Linked DNA regions of Schizosaccharomyces pombe. The gene in region 2 interacts genetically with the main gene of each other region. Each region holds a gene or a part of one and is shown on either strand. Other genes may lie near its edges. The genes, in order: gms1, och1 and alg3.

Region 1 (8,112 bases), on a different chromosome or scaffold from region 2:
AGTTTTTTAGAATTCAACAACTTCCAATACTCAAGTGTCCAAGCTAGCAAACTGTTTAATAATCGTGACCCAACATTCCTTTCATGCGCACCCTCAGCGTCACATAAATCAACACTTTACAACACCTATTCAAAGCTTCTATATGCCTTCGTCATTTAAATGTCTAACATTTCAAAAAAGTGTTTGCTAATGGTAAATTCTTGAGTTTTCTTGGAAGCACATATATAACGAGTGTGACTGTTCTACGCTCCTTGCTGACTAGTCATCAGTCTACGCATGCCAACTACCACCAACATAAGCAAATGGTAAGTTAGCAAGGAGTAGCACATCACATTAACAAACAGAGTTCAATTGGTACTGGATACGATTTAGGATTATTCTTCTCCCCGGATGGTCGTTTATTCCAAGCGGAGTACGCGTATAAAGCCGTCGAAAATGCAAGGTAAGGTGGATTGAATTTCCTTATCGATTGATTTTAACATTGTATTTAGTACTTGCATTGGAATAAAATGTGAAGATGGAGTTATTCTAGCTCTAGAAAAGGTAGTTACTAGCAAACTACTTAAGCCGCGAGTAAATAACAGAATTGGGTCGGTCGATCGACACATTGGTATTGCTACTACTGGCTTTATTCCTGATGGCCAACACATCGTAAAACGTGCAAGGGACGAAGCCACCTCATGGAGAGATAACTACGGATCTCCCATCCCTGGAACAGTTATTGCTGATCGCTTGGGGAACTACGTTCAACTTTTCACTTGCTATTCTAGCGTCCGTCCATTCGGTGTTATGTCTTTTGTTGCTACTTATGACTCAGAAGGTCCACATTTGTATATGGTTGAACCTAATGGTGTTTATTGGGGTTACAACGGTGCTGCAGCTGGTAAAGGTCGGCAAGTAGCTCGAAACGAATTAGAAAAACTGAATTTTTCCTCATTAAAAATGAAAGATGCGGTTAAAGAAGCTGCTAGAATGTACGTTTTGCTTTGTTGAGTACAATTTTTTTTCATTCTATTTGCTAATAATTCACTCTTTTTTAGATTATACGCAACTCATGACGAAGAAAACAACAAAGAGCATGAAATTGAGATGACTTGGGTTGGTGTTGAAACAAACGGTATTCATACACCCGTTCCTGATGAGCTTTTGCAAGAGGCTGAAGCATATGCTCGTCGGATTGCTGATGGCGAAGAAGAGGATATTGCTATGCAAGAGTAAATGTCATATGATTCCTATTATACTATGTTATGATTTCCCATTTTTATTCTCTCTTCATGCCTTTTTATTACCCTACTGACCTCTTCCTCTCCTTTTCTTATTTTTCCTCCAAAATTTTAGCCAAGTCTTTGTCTCTCGATTAGCTATTCCATCTTCCGTAACCGTCAATTATAAACAATTTTACGAGAACGATTATCTATAGATTCCTTTTATCGCTTTTCTTATAGAATCAATACACCCGTTTAAGGAATTAACATTTTTATCTTGTTAGAATATGGCAGATTCTACTTCCTTAAATCTTTGGAGTTATAATCTTCTTCCCAACTTTAATTCGGGTCTATCGATTTGATATTTAATGTGTATATGTATTGACCTATTTACTACATTTTCACAGTGATATTAAACAAGTAAACATTTTTAGCATTGCGTGAAATCCCTAATAACAAGTAGAGTATACTTTTGAAAGTGTATTATGATATCAGCTGTATGAGAAAGTTATTTGCAACCAATGCAATACTCATTTTAGCTTACAATTTTTTTAATGCAAAATCGTAAACACGAAATCGTTTAATAATCATACACCGAACTTACTATTGAGTGAATTAACAAAAGCAAACCTGCTGAAATACTTCACATTTCTATTAAGTACCAATCAATTTAATTTTACAACTACAATATCCATTTCCTATGCTCCCAATTAAGACAGGAACACCGGATGGCAATCACTGACTATGCATCAATGTCAATCGATAATGTAATTCAATATTAACAACTATTCCAAAACAAAAAACATTCTTAAATCTAATTTCATGTAGTGACAATTATTGAGATGATTATCATAAAAAAAGAAAACCATCTCACCCAATCGTCTCTTTTTATAAATTTAGTCTTCAGTTCAAATTATCTTTTATATTACTGCATCAAGTTTTGAATCCGCAGCACTTTTATTTTGACTGTTATAATAAGCGTTGTTCGTAGTTCCCTAGTAAGAAAATTCAGTATTTATATAGCACATGATCAAAGGCAGTCACATTCCTTAGGGTTTTTTAAACTGAAAGAACGATTTGCCGCAATAATTCGCAATTTAAAATTAAGTGACTTACAAAGGTTCGGTATTTACTAAGCAAGCTTGAAAGAATCTTTTAATAGTTTTTTATTGCAATGTTTACTTTTTTTCAATATACGGTAAATTTCTTCAATTATCTAAACCAAATAAGCATGATGAGTGGCAACGGTAAAAAACAGTTGTGCGGTTACCATACTTATTGTATTTGCCATTTGTAAACCATGAGTTGCGGCTTCTTGAGCCTTTATTATAAGGAATTGGGTTCGTTACTCACCAGACAAAATAATTAATTAATTCATTTCTTTCCCTAATATCTAATATCTATTTCTAATTGATTAAATAAATAAAGGGGCCTAGTATTCCTTAAAATGCCGGTGAGCTTGAGATTTGTAAGTTTTATTGACCGCTTCTACCCAACATTACCGCCGATTTTGAATGGGGATGAAAAATATAGAAACCAACAGATACAAGAAATTGGGTAATTCTCTCGCAATTAAACGAAAATAGTAGTAAATTAAAAGAATTAAATTGTTAGGATGCTAAATACTAGAAGAATGACAGTAGGGTTTGAAAAGCTTTGGTAGATTCACATGAATTAAATAGTTCACAGTATCAATTGAAGAACATTTGGGAATATGCTCTACACCATCTCACTGCTTTGCTAATAAGTGCCCAAAGGAAAGATAGAATATTTATAAGGATCTATGTAGAAAACGATTGACGAAAAAAAGTGGGAGCAGTTGTCTTAACAAAACATCAAGCCTGTTCTATCACGTTTGGAAACAAATGAACGAAGATGAGATCTCATTGAAGACGAAATGTAAAAGAAAATTAAAAAGAATACATTCTTTGAGAATTACAGAACATCTTAAATTAATGCTTATGATCAACGTCCTTAGCAGCAGCATCTTGGGTTGTCATTGGAATGTAAGTGCCTCTTGATGGTGATGGCTTGCTTTCAGGCTTAGTGTAGAGAAAAGTAGCAGCAATAACGAGCATAACTCCAATTAAAAATGTTAAGGAAATTTTGAAATCCATCAAATAAACACTTGCGAGAGAAGAAATAATGATGCTGATACTTGTTGAGAAATTTTTCATAATGTTATCAGCAAAAGCGACACATAAAGCTACGATAATACCTCCTCCAGCTTGTAAAAGGATTGCGAGCCAAACAATTGAATTATAACCGAAGAAAAAACCGTTTTCAGCAATATTGTGATAATCCTTCATCAAAATGGTGAAAAGACAGGGGAAGAGTGAAAAGAAGGAAAGTTGCACATTGCGAACCCACAAGGAAGGGTTGGTATCCTTCAAGACCTTTTCAAAATACACACCAGCTAGACCACTAATTAAGCACGCGACGAGTACAGCGCTAAAGCCAGTAACGGGATTCATAGGTCCTGCCGACATTTGGTCGTCTGAGTTAAGATTTTGCAACTGAACGATGGCAATGCCACCAGTCAATAAGAAAAGAGAAAACCATTTCATGGGACCGAGTCTTCGATGGAGAAGTAAGATAGAAAAGATGGCAGTAGTAAGAATCTTCAACTGATAAGTAACTTGGAAAGATGCGGCAGTAAGGTTGCCAGCAGCAACATATTGAAGATTGTTCTGGCAGGTGTAAAGGAATGCTGGAATTGCAAGTTTCCAGCTGTCCCCTCCAAATATTTGAGGAAGAAATGCGCGAAGTTTTGCTTCCTTGCCTACGTTTTTACGGAACTGATGATAGCCAACCGAAAAGCAAACAACTAGTTTAATAAGTTCGTTTAAAAGGACGGCAGTTGATGTAAAGTAACGTTTATCATCATATCCAGGCATGATTCGAGAATAGTTAAGTGTCTATTTAACCATTAGCATGTACAATAGGAAAAACAGAAATATATTTCTACATAAAAACAGCGAAGCTTTTCTAAAAAAAAGTGGGAGACATGCGTGTTTCTATAAGAAGATTGACCATATACTCCACAAACCAGAGAAATTCACAAGACTTCCTAAAAAAACCGCGACTACTTACCAAAATCAATGCACTATTTTGCACTGTTAAAAGTACCAATGCAATGTATTTCATTGGAATACCTTTCCATTTGACATCGTCGCCCTTGACAGCCATTTTCTCAATATTACTGGTATTAGACTAGACACTTGTAAAGATGTGAAGTGCTCGGACTTAATGAAATATTAATATAAGCAAAAGGTAGTTAACGAATTAAGAATTTGCAAGAAAAATTAAAAACCTCCAATACTTAATACGCTCAATCCGGTTAATAGTAAAACACGTTCGTGTTGGCTGCTGGTACGACAAGAACTAACTGCCCAAGCCTTTATAGTATCCAACTGATTTACGGAGCACGAGGTAAAATCGATAAAGGGTCATTATGAACACCAACAAATTTGGAAGATAGCCACGTTAAGCTAAGTTTTGCATTTGCCACGAACATGTGACAAAGCGGGTTTGTGCATTCGAACGCGTTGAGTACATACATGCTGATATCCGACTGCAAGCGTTAAACGATTCTTGTTTTCTCATATTTCTGTATTTTCTTTAAAGTGCATTAATTTTTTAGAAATATAGGGTAAAAATTCTACGATTTTGATTGCTTCTGGAGTCTTTATTTGCTTTCAGGATTTACAGGGATATCAGATTGTTATAACGGAATTCCCCTTGATAGCCGAAGGTTAGATCATTTGACTGTTATAGTTGGTAAGTTAAAGTTTTATGAATCCTCAAATCTTTGGCTTATACATAGAGGTATTCGGTTTGCAAAATATCGTATAAACGGGTCCTATAAGTAGCCGCCGAACTTGACATTAGTTGAATTGGACTAACATGATTGAGAGATTAAAGATTGCTAAGAACAGACTTGAAGCTATGAATTCTTTTAATTTTCCCGCCCAGGATAGACATGAACGAGCCCCTCTCTTGGGATCAGAGTATGACCACTCTATGGCTCGTCAGTTGTCGCTTTTAAACGTGGTCGGCATGACCAAATCTGTTTTGATGTCTAGCTACTTTAACTTGATGTTGGTATTTGTTCCGATCGGCTTAATTGCAGGATGGTTTGAATGGAACGCTAAATCTGTTTTCATACTTAACATGCTTGCTATTATCCCCCTTGCATCCTTGCTTAGCTTTGCTACTGAACAACTCTCTATAATTAGCGGACCAACATTGGGAGCATTGTTGAATGCTAGGTAAGATTCCTACTTTATCGTCTTCTTTTGTTATTTTATTAACACGTTGTGTACAGTTTTGGAAATGCCATCGAGCTCATTGTAGGCGTTCTTGCTTTGAAAAGAGGAGAGCTCCGCATCGTTCAATCGTCCCTTCTCGGATCAATATTATCCAACTTGCTTCTTGTTTTTGGAATGTGTCTCGTAACTACTGGTATTCGTCGTGAAATTACCACATTTAATATCACTGTTGCACAAACTATGATTGCAATGCTTGCTTTATCTACTGCTACCATATTGATTCCTGCGACTTTCCATTACAGCCTTCCCGACAACGCTAATAGCGAAAATGCGCTTCTCCATGTCTCTCGTGGAACTGCTGTTATTGTACTCATCGTCTATGTTTTACTTTTAGTTTTCCAATTAAAGACTCATAAGCATGTCTGTCATGATCCCAGTGAAGTGGAAGAAGAAACTGAACCTCGAATTTTAGGCCTTCGTTCATCCATTGCCATGCTTGCTATCGTCACGGTTTTTGTTTCTCTTTGCGCAGACTATTTAGTAGGTTCGATAGACCAATTGGTTGAGGAAGTTAACATTTCAAAAACTTTCGTTGGTTTGGTCATCCTTCCTGTTGTAGGAAATGCTGCCGAACATGTTACTGCAATCGTGGTATCTTACCGAGGACAAATGGATTTGGCTTTGGGTGTTGCTATTGGTTCCAGTATTCAGATTGCTTTGTTTTTAGCTCCCTTCTTGGTAATCGTCGGATGGATCATCTCCCAACCTTTAACACTTTACTTTGAATCATTGGAAACAGTTATTCTATTTGTGTCTGTTTTCTTGGTTAATTACTTGATACAAGATGGTGCTACTCATTGGCTTGAAGGTGTTCAATTACTTGCTTTGTATGCGATTGTTGTTCTCGCCTTTTTCTACTACCCTCAATAAATTTTGTCGTTCCCTCGCTAGTTCCTTATTATGTCTACTCTTATGTGCTTGATATACTCTCTTGATTTCTTTGTGTTTTACTTTACGAAACTATCATACCGAACTTATTGATTTCTTATTTTTTTATACTAGATTTTTTTTTTTTTTGGTTTCTGTTACAAGGATATTTTGCAGACTTATTTTTTAGTATGCAAGTGTTAAATTATGCAGAAATCTCCCATTTTCGCAATGACTACACAACTCTAAATTTCTATTGCAGGTCAAGCCAATATCTGCTTGTTTACAGTAGCTTTTTAAGTCGCTCATTCTTCAGTCTCAGTTTCATGTGTCTTACCAGCTATGAAAATAGAAAATTAATTTTTGAATAAACTCTTGTAAATCGTTGTTTATAAATCTTCATTTTGTTTATTTTTATTAGTTGTTTTGTAGGTTGTGTTTTACATGATTTAATAATACAAGCCATTAGTATGTGAAGTGGTTAATTTTAATTCTTCTTCTGTTTCTGTATATTCGAAGAAACAGAAAAAACTTCTTATCTCTTTCATTGGACTCTTCCAGGCGTAAGTATGATACCCTCCCCCAGCGTCAAGTTGGCACTTACCTTCTAATTTACGCACAATCTTTCATACATTCCTACTCTTGCTCTTTGAGTGTTGACACTTTTAATTTTATACAAAAGCTTTCAGTACACCTTCTATTAAACTATATACTGGCTATTTTCGTTCTTTCAATAGAATTGTACTTGTCTAAATAAACTTTCCAATACTACTACACTCACATCTCCTTCTTTGTTTTATTTATTTTCATTTAGTGGAAGGTATAGGGTTCTCTAGAAAAGGTTTACTAATTTTTTGGAAGACATTGACTACAAATGGAACCATTAGATGCTGGCAAGAACTGGGTGCATATGGATGTCATTGAGCAGTCCAAGGAAAACATAGAGCCTAGAAAAGCTGGTCATTCAGCTTCTGCACTTGCAAAATCTTCGTCGCGAAACCACACCGAAAAAGAAGTTGCTGGTCTGCAAAAAGAAAGGATGGGCCATGAACGAAAAATAGAGACGAGCGAGTCTCTTGATGATCCACTACAAGTTTGGATCGATTATATTAAATGGACCTTGGATAATTTCCCTCAAGGTGAAACAAAAACTAGTGGACTGGTAACATTGTTAGAAAGGTGTACTCGAGAATTCGTACGAAATCCGCTTTATAAAGATGATGTTCGGTATTTACGAATATGGATGCAATATGTAAACTATATAGACGAACCGGTTGAATTATTTTCTTTCTTGGCACATCATCATATTGGACAGGAGTCCTCGATTTTTTATGAGGAATACGCAAATTATTTCGAGTCTAGGGGATTGTTTCAAAAAGCTGACGAAGTTTATCAGAAAGGAAAAAGAATGAAGGCTAAGCCATTTTTGAGATTTCAGCAAAAGTATCAGCAATTTACTCACCGTTGGTTGGAATTTGCCCCACAATCATTCTCTTCAAATACAAATTCGGTTAATCCTTTACAAACGACATTTGAGTCAACAAATATCCAGGAAATATCCCAGTCTAGGACTAAAATTTCTAAACCTAAATTTAAATTTTCTGTTTATTCAGATGCGGATGGTTCTGGAAAGGATGGCCAACCTGGGACCTGGCAAACTCTTGGTACAGTTGATCAAAGGCGTAAAGAAAACAACATATCGGCTACTT
Region 2 (8,304 bases):
GGTTCAAGACAACTGCCATTATTACTTTTTCGAGAAGAGATATATAGTCCCTTGTAAGTTCCAAATAGTAATTTACGGCCCGCATCTAAAGAGCTGTTAACAAACATTTACTTCTTTAACATATTGTTTATTATACTTACCATAGGCAACGGCACATAATAACTTGTTGCCGGTAAACCAGGACTGACAACATATGCCTCGACTTTCAAATACCAAATGACGCTTTCGAATGATATCTTGCTGTTTCTCAATGTGTTGTTTCCATTGGTCTCTAGCAATCAGTGTATTGAGATAAAGACTTATAGAAAAACCACGGGCTCCAATAAATACTAACTGCAAACCGTATGCTTTAACAGGAGGTGGATTACTTTTTGTAATTGAAATTGGATTAGTTAACAAAGCAGAAGATGGTCGACGCGGAAGGCTACCTCTCGATGGCGAGTCTTCGATGTAAGAAATCGACAACAATTCTAAAGGTAATGGCCTGAGATGCAGTTTATGAACTCTTCTTTTCATTTGAATCTTTATCTTACACAACAAGAGAAAATTGTCCAGTAAAAACATGTGAATGTCGTTTTCAGTGTCCCCATTCGAATAACTACTGGCTTTTAGCTTGACGACGCCTTTGAAAATCAATAAGCGAGATGGATCAAACAATGTTAATTTTGCTCGATCCGCAGGGCTGCAGGAAAGCTGTTCGTTTAACTGTAACAACGAGAGTCTATTTTCAGTCTTCCCTGTTTCATAGTTAAGCTTAGTAAGAAATTCACGAATCATTTCGATTACACGAGGAATGTTTTCCGTATCAGGATTATCTTTATCAGTGTACTTAAGAACTCCACTTAATAGTAGCGGATACCTCGCAAGGCGAGTCGTAGGCTTGGTCAAATAACCATTAAGTTCTAGTTTTCTAGACTCTCGTAATCTTTCCACTTCATGAACATAATTCGCAAAATTCCTATTCGTACTTTTTTCACGCTCAAATTCAAACTTGGCAATAGCCTGATTGGCACCATATTTTATAAAAGGCTCAAATTTAGGAACATAATCTAAGAAAAGATCACCAATTGTGTTAACTACAGGTTGCAGAGTTTGAGTACGGTTTAGAGCATTTGACAAACGAGAATTGACAGCATGGATTTGCATGATATTATGAAAAACGCAACGTATAAATTGTTGTCGGTTGTTTTCTGGTATTACATTTGAGGTTGAAAGAGGCTTAATCCAAAAGTCACGTATATACTCTAGGTCTCTGACGAAGTCCCGTTCTGTGTAAATAACCTCAAAAATGATTTCCTGTCTTTTCCATTCACGGACATCGATCTGGTCTACAACTTGCTTAGGAACATTTTCCGACCATAAACGATGATCTTCCTCTTGTTTATCTGTAATCGAAGTTGATCCCCCACTTAATACAGGTTGGACCTTCAAATGGAGACGGGCCTGCTGCTCTAGTCGACGTGGGCAAGATATAGAATAGCAAAGGCGATTACGAGAACATGTAGAGGAGTAGCATTCCGTTAAAAGAGTAAACACTCCATGAGGATTGTATTCGGTTTCAGGAGCTTCAGGCTCCTTAGTAATTGCGCTTAGGGATGAGGTGATGAAAGCTAAAGAATTTACCTGTACAGACGAGGAGATGGTAGGTGTCGTAGAAGAATCAGATAAAACAGAGTCAAATGAATCAGACGTGTTCGCTCTTCTTTTTGTGTAGAGAAAGTTATTTTCGATCGACGATCCATTGGAATCCATCGAGGAGAGACCAGGAGGAGGAGAAATGATACGTCGGTACTGGTAAACTTCCTTGAGCGAGTCGCGAAGTCTATGAGAGTAAGTAACGTCATGAAACATCTTTTGCGAATCCAGGGCTCTTCCTAAAAGTAACGCCAAATTCCTGTCAGTCGTCCGAACTATATGCATCAATACATCGACAGCTTCCGATCCAAGAAAGGCATCTTTATAAAGAAGACCATCCTTCACACGGTCACCGATGTTAAGACGCTTTCGGAACTCAACGGCGACTTGAGAAAGAAAAGCCGGATGTATATAAGGGCGACGAGATGAGGTAGAATTGGAATGCGAAGGGGCGATGTTCGAAATCGCAGATGCAGACTTGGAGCCTGAGTGATGCTTAAGTAAGACGGCAGTTGATCCTTCAGGAAAAGATGGCATGGGTGCATTAACATGGACGCTATTTTTTCGAATGTTAGGATAAGAACTGCCATTAGATACATCAGAGACGGAAAACGACTGGCGAGTATGGGGTCTACCGAGCGATTGTATTTCTTTCCTACTACGTGCATGAGAAATGCCAAAATCATCTGTGGAGGAAGAACGGCGATAAAAATTATTTTTTTTATTAACTTCTAAGCCATCTCCAGGACCCGAATCTTTTCTGGATAGCGAAGAGGGAGAAAAGCTAAGGCTCGATGCAGGACGAAAATGATTGCCATCATTTTCATTAAGGGATGTGGTAGATGATAAAGCGGTAGGAGAATGTGTGATAGAGCCAGAACTCCTTCTTTGGAACAGTTTTTGGCTACTGCTAAATGATGAAAAAATACGAAATCCTTTAGCTGCTTTACCAAACGATTCATGAGACTCAGAGTTTATATTTCCATTCTGAGCTCCATTGCGAAGCATTTTCTTGTTTGTTGATTCTAATTTTACTACCCTCTCGAGGTATCGCAAGTTTTAGAAAAACGGCGCTATGCAAAGGGGCTTTTCTGATACCAATCGTCCGTACCGACACAACAACAGAAAGAGAAGAAAGATATTTTTCAAATTCAAGTAGTACCTTTTTTTTTAACGCTCCAATTACTTTCAACAATAAAAGGTTCTACAAGACAAGTCGTCTTATTTGAACATGGAAACTTCACCAAATTCCTCTTATTATACACGAGAAGCCGGAGTACGTATATTAATGCCAATTCTCCGGCTTTCCAATTATTCAAACAGCTTGGATACTCAAAAGAACGGATTTGAAGTGGATCGCTGCTTACACTTCTATATTATGGGTGGTGCTTTGGGTAACCTTTTTCTGTTATTGTGTACATACACCTAACACACACCGTTAACTACAGCCGACAATACTTGGACTGATATTACGCACGGTACCGCAATCAAGTGTGGCTGTTGCTATTATAGAGTAATATCACATTAAAGCCCTTCGATTTTCGGGTCGCTTGTGCGAAGTTAAAGTAAGAGCATCTGCGCAAACTCAGCCAGAGCGCCCACCTGTGTTTTGCTGCGATTCTATGAAAAACCGCAAAATCTGTATCCTAGCTGCATTAAGTACACATTAATGAGTCTTTGTTAACGAACTAAGTAATTAATTGATACATTGAGCATTAGCATATAACGAGTTCAGCATGTTGAGACTCCGATTGAGAAGTATTGTAATAGGAGCTGCGATAGCGGGATCCATACTGTTGTTATTCAATCATGGTAGCATAGAAGGAATGGAAGATTTGACAGAGATTTCGATGTTGGAGGATTACACTCCGGAAGCCGCTAATAAAGATTATGTTGGTCAACAGGAGGAGGAGGAACTTTTGTATGATCAACCGTCTTACATTGAAGAAGAAGAAGATCCAGATTTGGAAGCTTACTTGAGCGATTTGGAGAGGGAAGAGCTGGAACACAGCTTGGAAGAACTTGATGAAGAAAATAATTATAAACTTCATCTACGGTACTCCTTTTCACAGCTTCAAGATTTTGACGAAGAAAATGAAGCTGTACACATGATCGTTCCTAAAGATACTTATGAATTTGAGGTGCCTTATCACGCTGACATTCCCAAGTTAATATGGCAAACTTCCAAGGACCCTTTTGATAGAGAGGTTATGAAGTACACTCGGTTTTGGAGAATCAACCATCCCAGTTATTCTCATGCTGTTTTAGACGATGAGCAGTCTAAAGCATTGGTCATCAGTAGCTTTGGCGATTCATCAGTTTCCAAGATTTCACAAGCGTATGCAATGATGCCTCTGCCTGTTCTGAAGGCCGATTTCTTTCGGTATCTAGTGTTATTGGCAAAAGGTGGTATTTATAGCGACATTGATACGGCACCATTGAAGCATATAAACAATTGGATCCCTCGTGAATATCGTAAGCGTAATATTCGACTGATCGTTGGCATTGAAGCAGATCCCGACCGCCCTGATTGGAACGACTACTATGCCAGGCGTGTACAATTCTGTCAGTGGACCATAGCTGCTGCACCAGGCCATCCAATTCTTTGGGAACTTGTTCGTAGAATTACCGATGAAACTTGGAAGCTGCATGATTCAAAGAAGCTTTCGAAAAATGGCGAGTCAGTAATGGAGTGGACTGGTCCAGGTATTTGGACCGATGCCATTATGGATTATTTAAATTGGCAGTATGGCCCTTTCTCGGTTGAGAATATCACCAATTTAGAAGAACCTTATCTTGTTGGAGATGTTTTAATCCTACCCATAACTGCATTTAGTCCTGGTGTCGGTCACATGGGTAGCAAGTCTCCAAATGATCCGATGGCGTATGTTCAACATTTCTTTGCCGGTTCATGGAAAGATGATTGATCGTTTGAAATGTGGGTGGGTGGTCATTTCTTGGTATAATGTGCTTAAAGTGTTCGAACCGGGCAATTCGATAATACTAAATACACGCATTTGATCTGGTTTGGAAACTGTTACGGGTTGTGTTCGAGCAATTTTTGTAAATTATAGCTTGCGCAAACAAAAAAGTTTCTTTCGTGGTTGATTTAATCTTTCCCTCATAATTCTACATCTCTTTACGATTAATTTTGCATGTATTTTGTACGTTAGCCAATCAAGTTGGCAATATTGGTGACATTATTGAATTATATGAAGCCAATGCTTATGTCCTGATGATCAACTTTCTTTTTTTTTTTTTTTTCAGCGCTTTCATCAACGCGTTTTATAGCTCAGCACTATAATATTTTCCCTTGTAAACTGTTTTGAATTCTAAAGCTGTTTGTTTCTTTCAATAATTTTATAAAACTTTTGCGCTGATCACAATCAGTCTTTTTCAATTTTTTTCTCTTTTGTGATGGTATATTGACCCCAAAGCGTTTCTGTATACTTAGGTGAATTATCAAAGTAGTACAGAGATTATGCCTAAGATTTGAAGATGAATGATAAACCTGTTTCGGCTTTGTAATTACTTTATGTCTTTAGACTTGCATGAATGCTTCTTGGGATTAAAGGACCTCATATTTCTTCATTAAATTTTTGAGGTTTGTCTCTCTTTCTTTGCAACTACATTTTTTTTCAGAAGGTGACTTTATTTTGCTAGTAGTATTAGCGCTGTATTCTATAATATTTGTTTACTTTGGACCGACAAAGTTCATCACTTTACAGCTTCAACTATACATTATTTTTATTATAAATAAATAGACTGAAAAGTGTTTCAATAATTGAATAAACTTACTATTATCTTTTAAAGCTATGCTAACGCCCTTGCTTTGAATACCTTAGAACATTAAACACCCATATAAGAAGTTATTGTAGTGTTTATTTACCTCCATTTCCCACTGTCACAAACACGATTGTTGAGTGCATTTACAACCTGAAGGTTTAATGCTTTTCCTAATTGATGTTAAAAGTATTTCTTTTTTCCGTTATTTCTTTTCTATAAGTGCAGGATTTACATCTTCGAATTAGAAGCATCGTTGATAAATCTTACAATTGGTAGATTGCTTGCTCAAAATTATATTTTAGAAAAGCCTAACTTATTTGATTAAATACTTAATGACTAAAGAAACTCACGAAAATCATTTGCGTACGCATAACGGGATATTTCCTGTTTCTTTGCTCTCAACTCAAGCGCGTCAACTTTTGAATTTCAAGCTAAAGAGTCCTTCCTATTATCTTTTAAACAGTTTTAAACTCTTAGTTAAATCGGAAGGGAATAATCAATCAACCACTGCAGATGTAACTTTAACAAAATCACCAAATGCTTATCATGCTTCCAGCGCTAGAGAAGAGAAAGATTTACAAGTTTCTCGGCGGGATACTTGCTTTTATTGCAGTAGAAAAATTATCAAATGCATATGCAACGAAGAACACGTTGGGATTGAATCAGTTCAGCTTAAACTTATACTTCTATTGTGCCAAAATCTACCAAATGTTACTACTAATGCAAAAAAATATTTCAGTTCACTGGCTGATGGCCATAATTTCACTTTGACGCTTTATAAATTTTCTTTAGATAACCAAACATTTTCTCAATTACTTTCTCGATTTAAATCTTTTGCTACTTTGACTGAACTACTTCAAGTGCACAATGTTATGCTTCAAGTAAACTTTTCCTTTCAAGCAAGGCAACTAAACACAGAAATTCAACTACGACGATGCCATTCGTTAGAAAAAACATGGAAATTCTTATTTGGCGATTATGAATTACCTGATGTTCTAAAAGATATGGAGTCATCGAATAGTGATTGGAGTGACACATCTCTGAAACGAATTGCCTATTTATGTTCTCTTGTTGAGGAGCTCAAACTTCATTCTTCTATTATGAACGACAAGTATGTGTGCCTTGTGTCCAAGCATAACAACGCATTGGAAGACAAGTTTAACAGTGAAGCCGCGCGTCAGTTGTTGCAGAAATCTCTAAGTATAGTAGCGTCAAATTTGAAACAAGCCGAAAATAAAACTATCAGTTATGAAGAAAAGCTTTCTATAGCTCAAAATTCTATTAATGAAATTCAAACCCAAAACAGGGATTTAAAACTTGAAACCGAGAAGTTACAGGATCAAATCAAAGCGTTGCTAGAAAGAAATCAGTCATTGCAAGAAGCTCTAGAAACTGTTAAAAATGATGAAAAAAATCTGAGAGAAATGAACGCCAATTATGAAACCGAGATGAAAGAAGCGCGTCAAAAGTTAAACAACAAGGAGGCATTAATTAGTCATTATGATGATGATTTTCGAGCAAAAGAATTAAAAATTTCAAGACTTTCCGAAAGTCTTAGAGAAAAAGCAGGCTTATTGGAGTTTCAGTCTTCTGTTAGTGAACAAAGGGATCTACTTTATCAAGAACAAATACAGTCGTCAATAAAGGATATGGAGAATGTATTTCGAAAAAATGAATATCTTATGGAAGAACTTAATGAATTAAAGAACAATCTTGAAGTGGAATCAAGTAAGGTTTTGAGACTTGATGAAGAAATGAAATGCCTAAAGGATGAGCAACTCTCTCAATTTGACACGGTCTTTAGTTTGACTGATGAACGGGATGGATTACAGAAGGATTTAAAAAACACTAAGGGAAATCTTGACGATGAAATCGGGCGCTCTGCATTTTTAAAAAGCCAAATCAGGGATCAAGAGCTAACTATTGAGAAGCTCCATGACAGTTTGGAGACTTTAAGTCAAACTAACAATAGTTTACAGTGTGAGATTTCTGAAAAGAATGCAGAGTTAAATTCAGTAAACTCCAAACTTTCTGAAGGTAGAGCACACCTGGAAACCGCGAATAAGGAGAATGAGATATTGAAGCAGCAATTGGAGTTAAGTGAATCCAAATTAGCCAGTTTGTTAAACTCTTATCAATCATTTATTAATAAAAAAGAGCACCTCTATTCTTTTTTACAGCTTGTCGAGCCATCGTTCGCTAAAAGTGATTCATCTAATGCTACCGAATCCCAAATTTCCGAAAGTGTACGAAAAGGAATTTCAATATTTAATCTTTTGTTCATTGTTTACAAAAACGTATGCTCTCAAGCTGGAATTAATCCATCTACAAAGCTTGAAGATCTTGATGAACATACACTTTCTGATGAGCTGACTTATATAACAAAAAAGTTTGTACAAAAGGATCAAGAATACCAAACGAAGGAAATCGAGTTAAGGAATTATAAAATTACTCTTCAGTCGTTACTTGAAGATAAGCTTATCGGTGTAAATACTGATTGCAGATCACCTTCTTGTTCAGACTTTGAGCAACTAGGGCAAGAAAGCGAAAATAATACTTCTATCTCAGGAAGGGTTAGTAAATTAGTCAAAAGCTTTAATGATTCATCTTCTATTTCCAACAACACAAAAATCTCAATCACTAAGTCCCCATCTGGTGAGAAAGTTTCCGTATTTAAAGAGATGTCAGACATAGCTCTGCGCGATATGGATAAAAACAGAAAATTATTGGGAGAAAATGTTGACGTGAGAAATATTGTTGTCCAAAAGGATGAGTCATTGAACATTGACTTACAGAATAATGCTGTAGTACCTGAACTGCACTTCAAGGAGGGGATGGTATACGATTCATTGGAAAATGCGTATACTTATTTGGCCGAATCCA
Region 3 (7,852 bases), 2.5 Mb from region 2:
ACAAAAAGGTGTGGGCGGCTTTTAATGTTAACGCTCCTCATTATTATTTGAACACTCAACCGCATTTGAAACTTGAAAGCCGCGACTGGATGTTAGGAAGGGTAACTTCCATTGAAGATCGTACTGCTGATGATTCGACGGATAAATGGCTTCGCCTGCCTTCAGGTACAATATGGCATTTAGTGGAAGCTATCGATGAAAGATTTTAAATCATTATGTGACCTAGCTTATACCTTCACTTGCTTTTTCTTTGCTTGTATTTGTGGGACTGATTCTATATGACAGACATTTGGTATTATCATACTTCTATTTTTTCAGGTTTTGATCTGTTATGGCATTATTTACTGAAATTTGTTTTTTGGTCTCGCCTAGTAAGGTATCCGACGTAAATTAACGACTACTATTGCTGTAGCGTGTCTCTCGTCTTGTAACATGATAAATTTTTAATGAACTTTTAATCTATTCGTATATTATTTAATATGTAGAACGCAATCGCTCGCAATAAAAGTGATTTGCAAATATTATTTATCACACCGAACAACGCACTGGTGGTAAGGAGTACCTTATGTAAATTGCTTTGTGTAGTGTGTCCCATCAAAGTACAACCTGGAATTATGATTCCCTCAAAAAATATCCAAAAGATCAAGTTGGTTACGTTCGATGCTTTTGGAACAATCCTTCATTTAAGTAAACCTGTTCCAATTGTGTACAGCGAAGTCGCTCAGAAGTATGGAGTTCATGCAACTATTGATGAAATTGAACACAATAGTAATAAAGGTTAGCTTTTGGTTTCTATTTATCTAATAATTTAGCATTCAAGGATTTCAGTGAAAAGCATAAGAATCATGGAAAAAAGTCAGGATTAAATCCTCATGACTGGTGGATCAAAGTATGTGTCTGAATTTCATTGAGATTTGTGTTTTGTAAAGAATTGAATCTCTTGATTTCTAAAAAACCTTTACATGCTAACAATTTTAGGTTATCGAACATTCTTTTCCAACTCCTGTTCCTGCAGAAATGGCTGAAGAGCTATGGAGTTACTTTTCCAAAAAGACGGGTTACACGATTCATCCTCTTCTGATTGATTTCCTTAAGAGAAATAAAGAAGAGAGGAAATACATTATTGGTATTATTTCAAACACAGACGAAAGAATTCGTACAGTGCTTGAAGATTACGGCATAGATCATCTAATAGATATATATGCGTTTTCGTACGACGTTGGATTTGAAAAACCAAGCAGGGAAATATTTGATTATGCTATGGAAAAGGCTGTTAAACTTCTTGGACAGGAGATTCAACCAGAAGAATGTATGCACCTAGGGGATGATTTAATAAAAGATGTTTCAGCAGCAAGAAACATCCAATGGAATGCTGAATACTGTGACATAAAAACCAATTTCCTGAAATATTTTGAACAGAAGTAAAATAAACGCAGTCAGGTTTACCGCGTATCCAACATTCATATCTGGACCCCTTCTTCAAGGACCTAATGTGACAATAAAGGTTTCACATTTGAAATGATAATTTTTTCTTATAAATGAATATTTCGTCAGAATTCTAATAAATGTATAAATTGATTATATTTTCAACAAAGCTCTGTTGTTCCTTTGTGTACTAGCTTTTGACATTGAAGAAAAATTATATTTATGTGATCCTTTTAATTTTTTAGAGATTGATCTATTGTTGTTTTCATTATACAAGGGCGCAAATAAGTAAACAATGAATATTCCGAAAAGACATGAACATGAAATGGCTAATGCATATGCATGCTAACGAAAATTTAAAAAATGAAGAATATGCCGATAAACGCAATAGCAATCCTTTTTATTTTCTAATTTGAATGACCATTCTAGTCGCGTTATTCCAAGTCTAGCATCCATGCTACGAGAATAATCGTTAGACCAACAATCTAGGGCTCAGTTATGCATTTGCTGTTTTTACGGGTTCAAAATCTATACAGAGTAGCTCACAAAATTCTTTTCTTTAATGGAGTGTATACTCTATTCATAAATATTGAAATTCGAAGAACTGACGCAAACCGAGCAAATTCGATAAAGCATTTATTTAGCTAAAGGGATTTATGCTTTTAAATTATCTAAATTTTATTTAACAATTAGTACTGGCTCTATATTTAATATTTTTAAGACATTTACATATTCACCATTATTCCCTCGAAATGCCAATATGCTGATATAAAGAAATATTTATTACGCTGCACTAGCTATAGTAAGATAAAAGTTGCTTTCTCACATGTATGCCTGCGTTTATAGTCATTCCCTTAAAAAGCAATTATTCTAAACCTTTTATGAAAAATATATTTTGAAGTGCAGTTGAAGCTGGTAGAAGTTGATTTTACTTATTAGCTTATTAGAACTATTACAAGTTACGCTAAATATGTTTTTTTCATAATCCATACTACGCTACATCAGACAAGAGGCGCTTACAGCGGTCGAATGTATCCTTAAGAAGTTCACATTATGCAAATAAACAGCAAATCACAAAATTACTTTAACGAGGGAACTGAAATATATAATGAAACCTTAGTAAAATGTGACTGTCAATGGTGCAAGCTATAAAATCAGCAACTTGTTTATTCTAATATTTGCAATAGTTGTGCGGAAAGCACTTGTGTTCTTAGCAACTGTTTGTTTTATATTTTAGAAACGCTTTTTTAAAAGTAATAATGAGCATTTGATAAAAACACTGGTGCTAATTCATTTCAGTGTCGAATGATTAAATGTATGAATTTTTATCAATCTGTCAATCCCCTGAGATTTTCATTGAAGAGAATATTCATCGAATTATGACGGCATAAAGATACGAATTAAAAGATTAGACTAATGTTCGTTTTTATAAGATGTTAATTTTCAAAAATTTATAGTCGGTACACAAATGAAAAAACTAAAAATTTTGTTTTTTAAAAACCATGAGTAATTAAAAGTGAAGTGTTTAAGCTTTTTATAAAGTTTATTTTGCGTATTAGTAAAGAGGGATCAGGGTTTTCTGTAGTCGGATGTGTATAGCTTCAAAATAGTAATAAGCGGCACGCATACAGCGATTAATGAAGATAGTTTAGTACTAGGAAAAACATTCCATGCGTATTCTTGTAACATCCATAAGCCAATTACTATCGGAGCAGGAAAACTAGCTTGATAGCATAGATATGGTGAATACCAAGCAAACCATGCATAAAATTGATAATGCAGGGATCTTGCACATAATATACCAATCAAATTGGATGTTGCTAATGCAGTAAAGATAAAATTAGGAGTTGCGAGTTGGAGTTTTGGTAAAGGCTTCAAGGTCAGCATGGAGTTTACCATTGCAAATGGTGTTGCTCTGCTCAGTTTATTCCAGTGTTTGCAGGTAAATGCAACTAGCAAAGCAACATGAAGAAAAAGTATTGATGTGGAAAATGATGTAGACTCAAAAATGCTGCGTGGAATGAATCTCCAGTTTACTGTCCACTTATAATCGAATGCTCTGCCAAAATCAAAGGCTTGAGTCCAATACGACCAAAAATAGGCAAGGAAGGGAATAGAAAATAAAATTTGTACAATTATAATAACAAAAATATGCATCCAGGTCTTTTTGGGCCCCAAGATTTGGAGCAAAAGAACTAAATAAGCTGGGACATAAAGCAAGGAGGACATCTTGACAGAACAAGCGACACTTAGTAGAATTGAAGCTCTAACCCACTTTTTTTTGCATGAAGACAAAATAAAAAGGGAAGAGAATAAACTGTTGAATCCATCGTTAAATAAACGTAAGATAAATATACTGTGTAGACGTTTTGAAAGTATAAGCAAAACATATATATAAAAAGGAGCGCGGACAATTTTAAACAAATACCCTACAATAGCCGTTGTAATCCAGTATACAAAGGCAAAAATGTATTGCGCCCTTACAATGTTGGTCCCTCCATCAGTAAGGTAGTACAAAAGGGTGTACAAAAATACGTGCCCTCCAGGGTAGACCAGAGGGCCTGTACATCCGACAAGAGATTTATAATCTCTTTCTCCTAATAGAAATGAATTCACCTGCTCCATGTAAGCAATCCAGTCTATCTCCGTGTAGGGAACTTTGGAAATAATAGCAAAGACAAAAGGAATTTCCAACAGAAGGAGCCTTGAAGGATGTAACCAGCCATAGGAACCAAGATCAAATAATACCCGAAAAGGATTAAAAGAATTTCTTGTCTCAACTGAAGACATTGGTTAACTTTTGATAAAATACGAGACTTTAGCAAATAATGTAGACAGATCCCAGGTTTTTAAGAGTAACGCTTATTATAGACAATGGAAAATTGGTAGAGTTCTTTCACATAGAAAGGAACTCCTTTTTGTTTAAGAAAAATTGTGTTTTTAATGAAACTCGTTAGACGAACAATGTATGTTAGGATGTAAGTGTTAAGAACATGTCGACGGAGCGTAATCATTACTGTGATTTTACTCCATAAATGTGAAATTTGATTGTTATAAAACAATACTTAACGAGAATATTAAAGATTTTATTCTAATAGAATACAAAAATATGTTTGCTACTCAGATCAACATAAATATTCGTTGGGTTAATTGTATAATGTTATAAATAAAGAGTAGCATGTATTTGAGCATGTAATCAAAAAGGATATTTATTCATCCAAATGGTATCATTCCAAATTGGTATACACTCTCCAATGTCTATCTTAGAAGGATAGGAGAATAATGTAGAACAGAGTCACGAACGCCTAACCAAAAAGTCGTATTAAATATTACAAATGCTCAAGGCGGTCGCAAATTAGCTAGCTTGTCTGAAAAATGCCCATGACTAGATTACTACGCCTGGTCGATGGCACATTACTATTATTGCGATAATTGTACGCAAATCGCCGTTCTGCAACTTCAGTAGAAAAGATGCTAGGACAAAAATACTTTTCCCAATAAATTACAACGGTGCATACACAAAGAAAAGCAAAACATTTATTTTTGTTAAATAAAAATATTTTGTATTACAAGTTCATAACAACTAACTATCAGATTGCGTAAATTAGAGGTTCGCCTTAATAGAAGCCTCTAATTTAGCAGGATTAGCACCTACGATTTCTTCAATCTTCTCACCATTCTTGTAAAGGAAGAAAGAGGGCATAGCGTGAACGCCAGCTTCAGCTGCAATTTCACTTAATTGATCGACATCAACCTTGATGAAAGTGGCATCAGAGTAAGTGTTGGAAAATTGCTCAAACTTAGGAGCAATGGCCTTGCAAGGTCCACACCAAGTAGCAAAGAAGTCGACAACGACAAGCTTGTCTTGGCAAACAATAGATTTAAATTCAGAAGAGTCGGAGACTTGTTTCACCATGTTGTATATAAATGAAATGGGAAATTAAGTTAAAAATATATACTCAAATAAAGAAAAAATCGATTTAACGAGTAAACAGAAGTAAACCTGAAAAATTCAAAAGACGTTGACTTCAGGAGTGCAAATGAACTTTGTCTCTAGTATACTTATACGATGGTGCGACGTGCCCGTTTATATATTATTGAGAAAATGTGTAATTTATAAGTTCGCTTATTCTAGTAGAAAGATCGAGAGCGTACATTGTGCAATCACCGACGATGAGGTAATGAGCTACAATAACGAGGATATGGTGCCATTCTCTGCCATCAACCTACCAATTCGTTTCCTAATTTTCTATAACGCATTTCGGAGTAATACTTCATGGAATTACAACGAATCACAAATCGGAAACCTGACAATTAGTAAACAAAGCTAAAGAAGCCATCTTGTTGTTATGTCAGCTTGTTAATCGTGGATTCTCGACAAACATGAGATTATAAGCAATTAAAGCATCAAAATAATAAGTATGTAAATGTAAAGATTTTCTTTTTTTTTGGTAAGCTGAAAGATTATGCGTGCTCTTTTCTTTGCTGTACACGATCTAGTTAGTGGAGTCGAAGTAATGTTAAGAAAATTTTGTTATAACAACTGAGGTACTGATATGAAATTACAAATTAAAAGACATACAAAAATGTAAAATAGTGAGGCGATATTCCTACTGTTAACAAAATCCATTTTACATATAAATGGCGGTAGAAATTGGAAAAGGAGTATAAATATGCAGTTTATAACAGTGTCACATATACTTGAAATTCTGAAATCAAAAAAAAGTTAATCGCCAGTCAAATAATTCTTTGCGGTAGCTGAACTTTCGTTAGAACGATGAACGATATTTTAATTTATGTTTTTTCCATGCTACTTCCTCTAGAAACGGTGTATTGAACCATCGCTTTATATCAAATTCACGTTATGGCGAAATAGTACAATGCAGTTTTCAGCTTGAGAGGGTAACCTTTTACATACGCATCCACAGTCACTTTTTCTACAGCTACTTTGGCTTTAACAAAGTAGAAAGTTACATTTTTTTTTTTTTAATCAACGGCAATTATAGGGATGGTGAAGAAATTTTTTTTTTTGAAATTTTTTTACGCTCTTTCGAAGCATTCACATTTTAGACATCCAGAAGCTATTGAGCAGCAATATGTATTAAAGAATTCGAAAGTACCGTAAAATGAATTTTCTTTCTTCTTTCTTTTACCTTATATACCGGCAGTCTTTTTCATCACTGCAGTACTGATATTCACATTTCAAGTAGCAACCGTGCTTCGTTACTTTATGAGAATGCACGGCAATTCAGGCTTGGACCTAAATACTTGTATTCCCAACTTGTACCGAGCACAAGCATCAGAACTCATTTCCTACAAAGGATCATCTTAAAAATGACAGACGTTCAACTTCAAAATATCGTTACCACCTTTGGTATCTCCATGATGCTCTTAATCATCCTTTACCATTACCTTTCACGTCCTCAAGCATAAAAGAAAGAGAGATTCATGTCTGTTTGTCTAACTTACCTTTATAGCTGCACTCTTCGTCTACGTTTTTTAAATTAGTCACTCTTTCAATTAAGGGAAGTTACCTTTGGTATTGTTGTGAAATGGAATTTGTACCTGCATATCAAAATGATTATATTACGAAACAAAATATGTCTTATTATTTGTTCCGTTAAATATTGGATACACTTGTATTACTTTTTTCTTATTTTCCTATCTCTTTTTCCTTCCTTCCCTATTTTCTACATGCTGGCCAAATAACTTTTATCATCTACTGTTGCTTGTACTAAAGTGCAACATAAAATAATAATACATCTTTAAAGTTCGTCTCTTCTCAAACCCCGACTAAATATTAATACAAATTATCTTTTTTTTTAATAAATGTTATTTTACACAATCAATAAGAATCGCGGTATCCTGACGGCACGCTTTTCTTAGTATAGAAAAGGTATAAGAGTCCACCGAAAGTCCAAACTTTGTTCTTTGTTCTTGACCGTACAAGCATAAGAAGAAGAGATTGCTACCATATTGCAAAGTACCCATCCCAAGACTAGCCATATTAACCAGTGTTGGGCAATCAGTGCTATTCCAGTATAAACAATGATTTCTCCAAGGTAATGGGGGCCAGTTATCCATTTAAAACATCCTTTTTTTAGGACTAGATATTGCGAATGATTTTTTTGAGCAATCAAATGTTCATGACTTGCATTCTGCCAAATGCTGCCTATTGCGTAAATCCCCAAACCAACAAATTGCATGCTTGACATTGTATTTTCATAACTTCTTCTACCGCACAAAAGCAATGCAAGGAATGTATGTGTGTAAAACAGGTATCCCAATAAATAATGACCAGCAAGCATTTTCGAACCGCTTTTGCGAAAACGTAGATTCTCATATAATCTACGCAGCGTGTGAATTTCATAAATTAGTAGGAGTACTTGTAGCTTTTTACTGTACATCAAGTCCTCTTTGATATTTT

What was found.
Region 1: of och1 (region 2) and gms1, changing one enhances a phenotype caused by changing the other (phenotypic enhancement), as found in Schizosaccharomyces pombe (one study listed by BioGRID).
Region 3: mutations in och1 (region 2) and alg3 impair growth when combined (synthetic growth defect), as found in Schizosaccharomyces pombe (one study listed by BioGRID).

The regions. Positions count from the first base shown.
Region 1 is NC_003421.2:990,411-998,522, forward strand, and holds gms1 (Golgi UDP-galactose transmembrane transporter Gms1), read right to left. Parts: upstream 4,577-8,112; 5' UTR 4,395-4,576; coding exon 4,299-4,394; intron 4,124-4,298; coding exon 3,158-4,123; 3' UTR 2,468-3,157; downstream 1-2,467. Other genes in the region: proteasome core particle subunit alpha 7 Pre10, read left to right, coding at 303-305, 345-442, 492-974, 1,041-1,218; vcx1 (CaCA proton/calcium exchanger), read left to right, coding at 5,112-5,476, 5,533-6,406; mitotic spindle checkpoint protein Mad3, read left to right, coding at 7,278-8,112. UniProt on the Schizosaccharomyces pombe protein: Essential for the transport of UDP-galactose into the lumen of Golgi apparatus.
Region 2 is NC_003424.3:5,075,444-5,083,747, reverse strand, and holds och1 (Golgi alpha-1,6-mannosyltransferase Och1), read left to right. Parts: upstream 1-3,226; 5' UTR 3,227-3,371; coding exon 3,372-4,562; 3' UTR 4,563-5,459; downstream 5,460-8,304. Other genes in the region: RhoGEF for Rho1 Rgf2, read right to left, coding at 1-85, 141-2,643; protein mcp3, read left to right, coding at 5,754-8,304. UniProt on the Schizosaccharomyces pombe protein: Mannosyltransferase involved in outer chain elongation of asparagine-linked oligosaccharides of the type Man(9)GlcNAc(2). May otherwise add the first alpha-1,6-mannose to the Man(8)GlcNAc(2) core oligosaccharide from the ER.
Region 3 is NC_003424.3:2,622,946-2,630,797, reverse strand, and holds alg3 (dolichol-P-Man-dependent alpha(1-3) mannosyltransferase Alg3), read right to left. Parts: upstream 4,399-7,852; 5' UTR 4,216-4,398; coding exon 2,995-4,215; 3' UTR 2,516-2,994; downstream 1-2,515. Other genes in the region: autophagy associated protein kinase regulator Atg11, read left to right, coding at 1-209; SPOM_SPAC7D4.05 (hydrolase), read left to right, coding at 615-777, 813-889, 979-1,425; cytosolic thioredoxin Trx1, read right to left, coding at 5,030-5,341; SPOM_SPAC7D4.08 (uncharacterized protein), read left to right, coding at 5,466-5,756; oligosaccharyltransferase subunit Ost4, read left to right, coding at 6,760-6,858; dfg10 (steroid dehydrogenase), read right to left, coding at 7,308-7,852.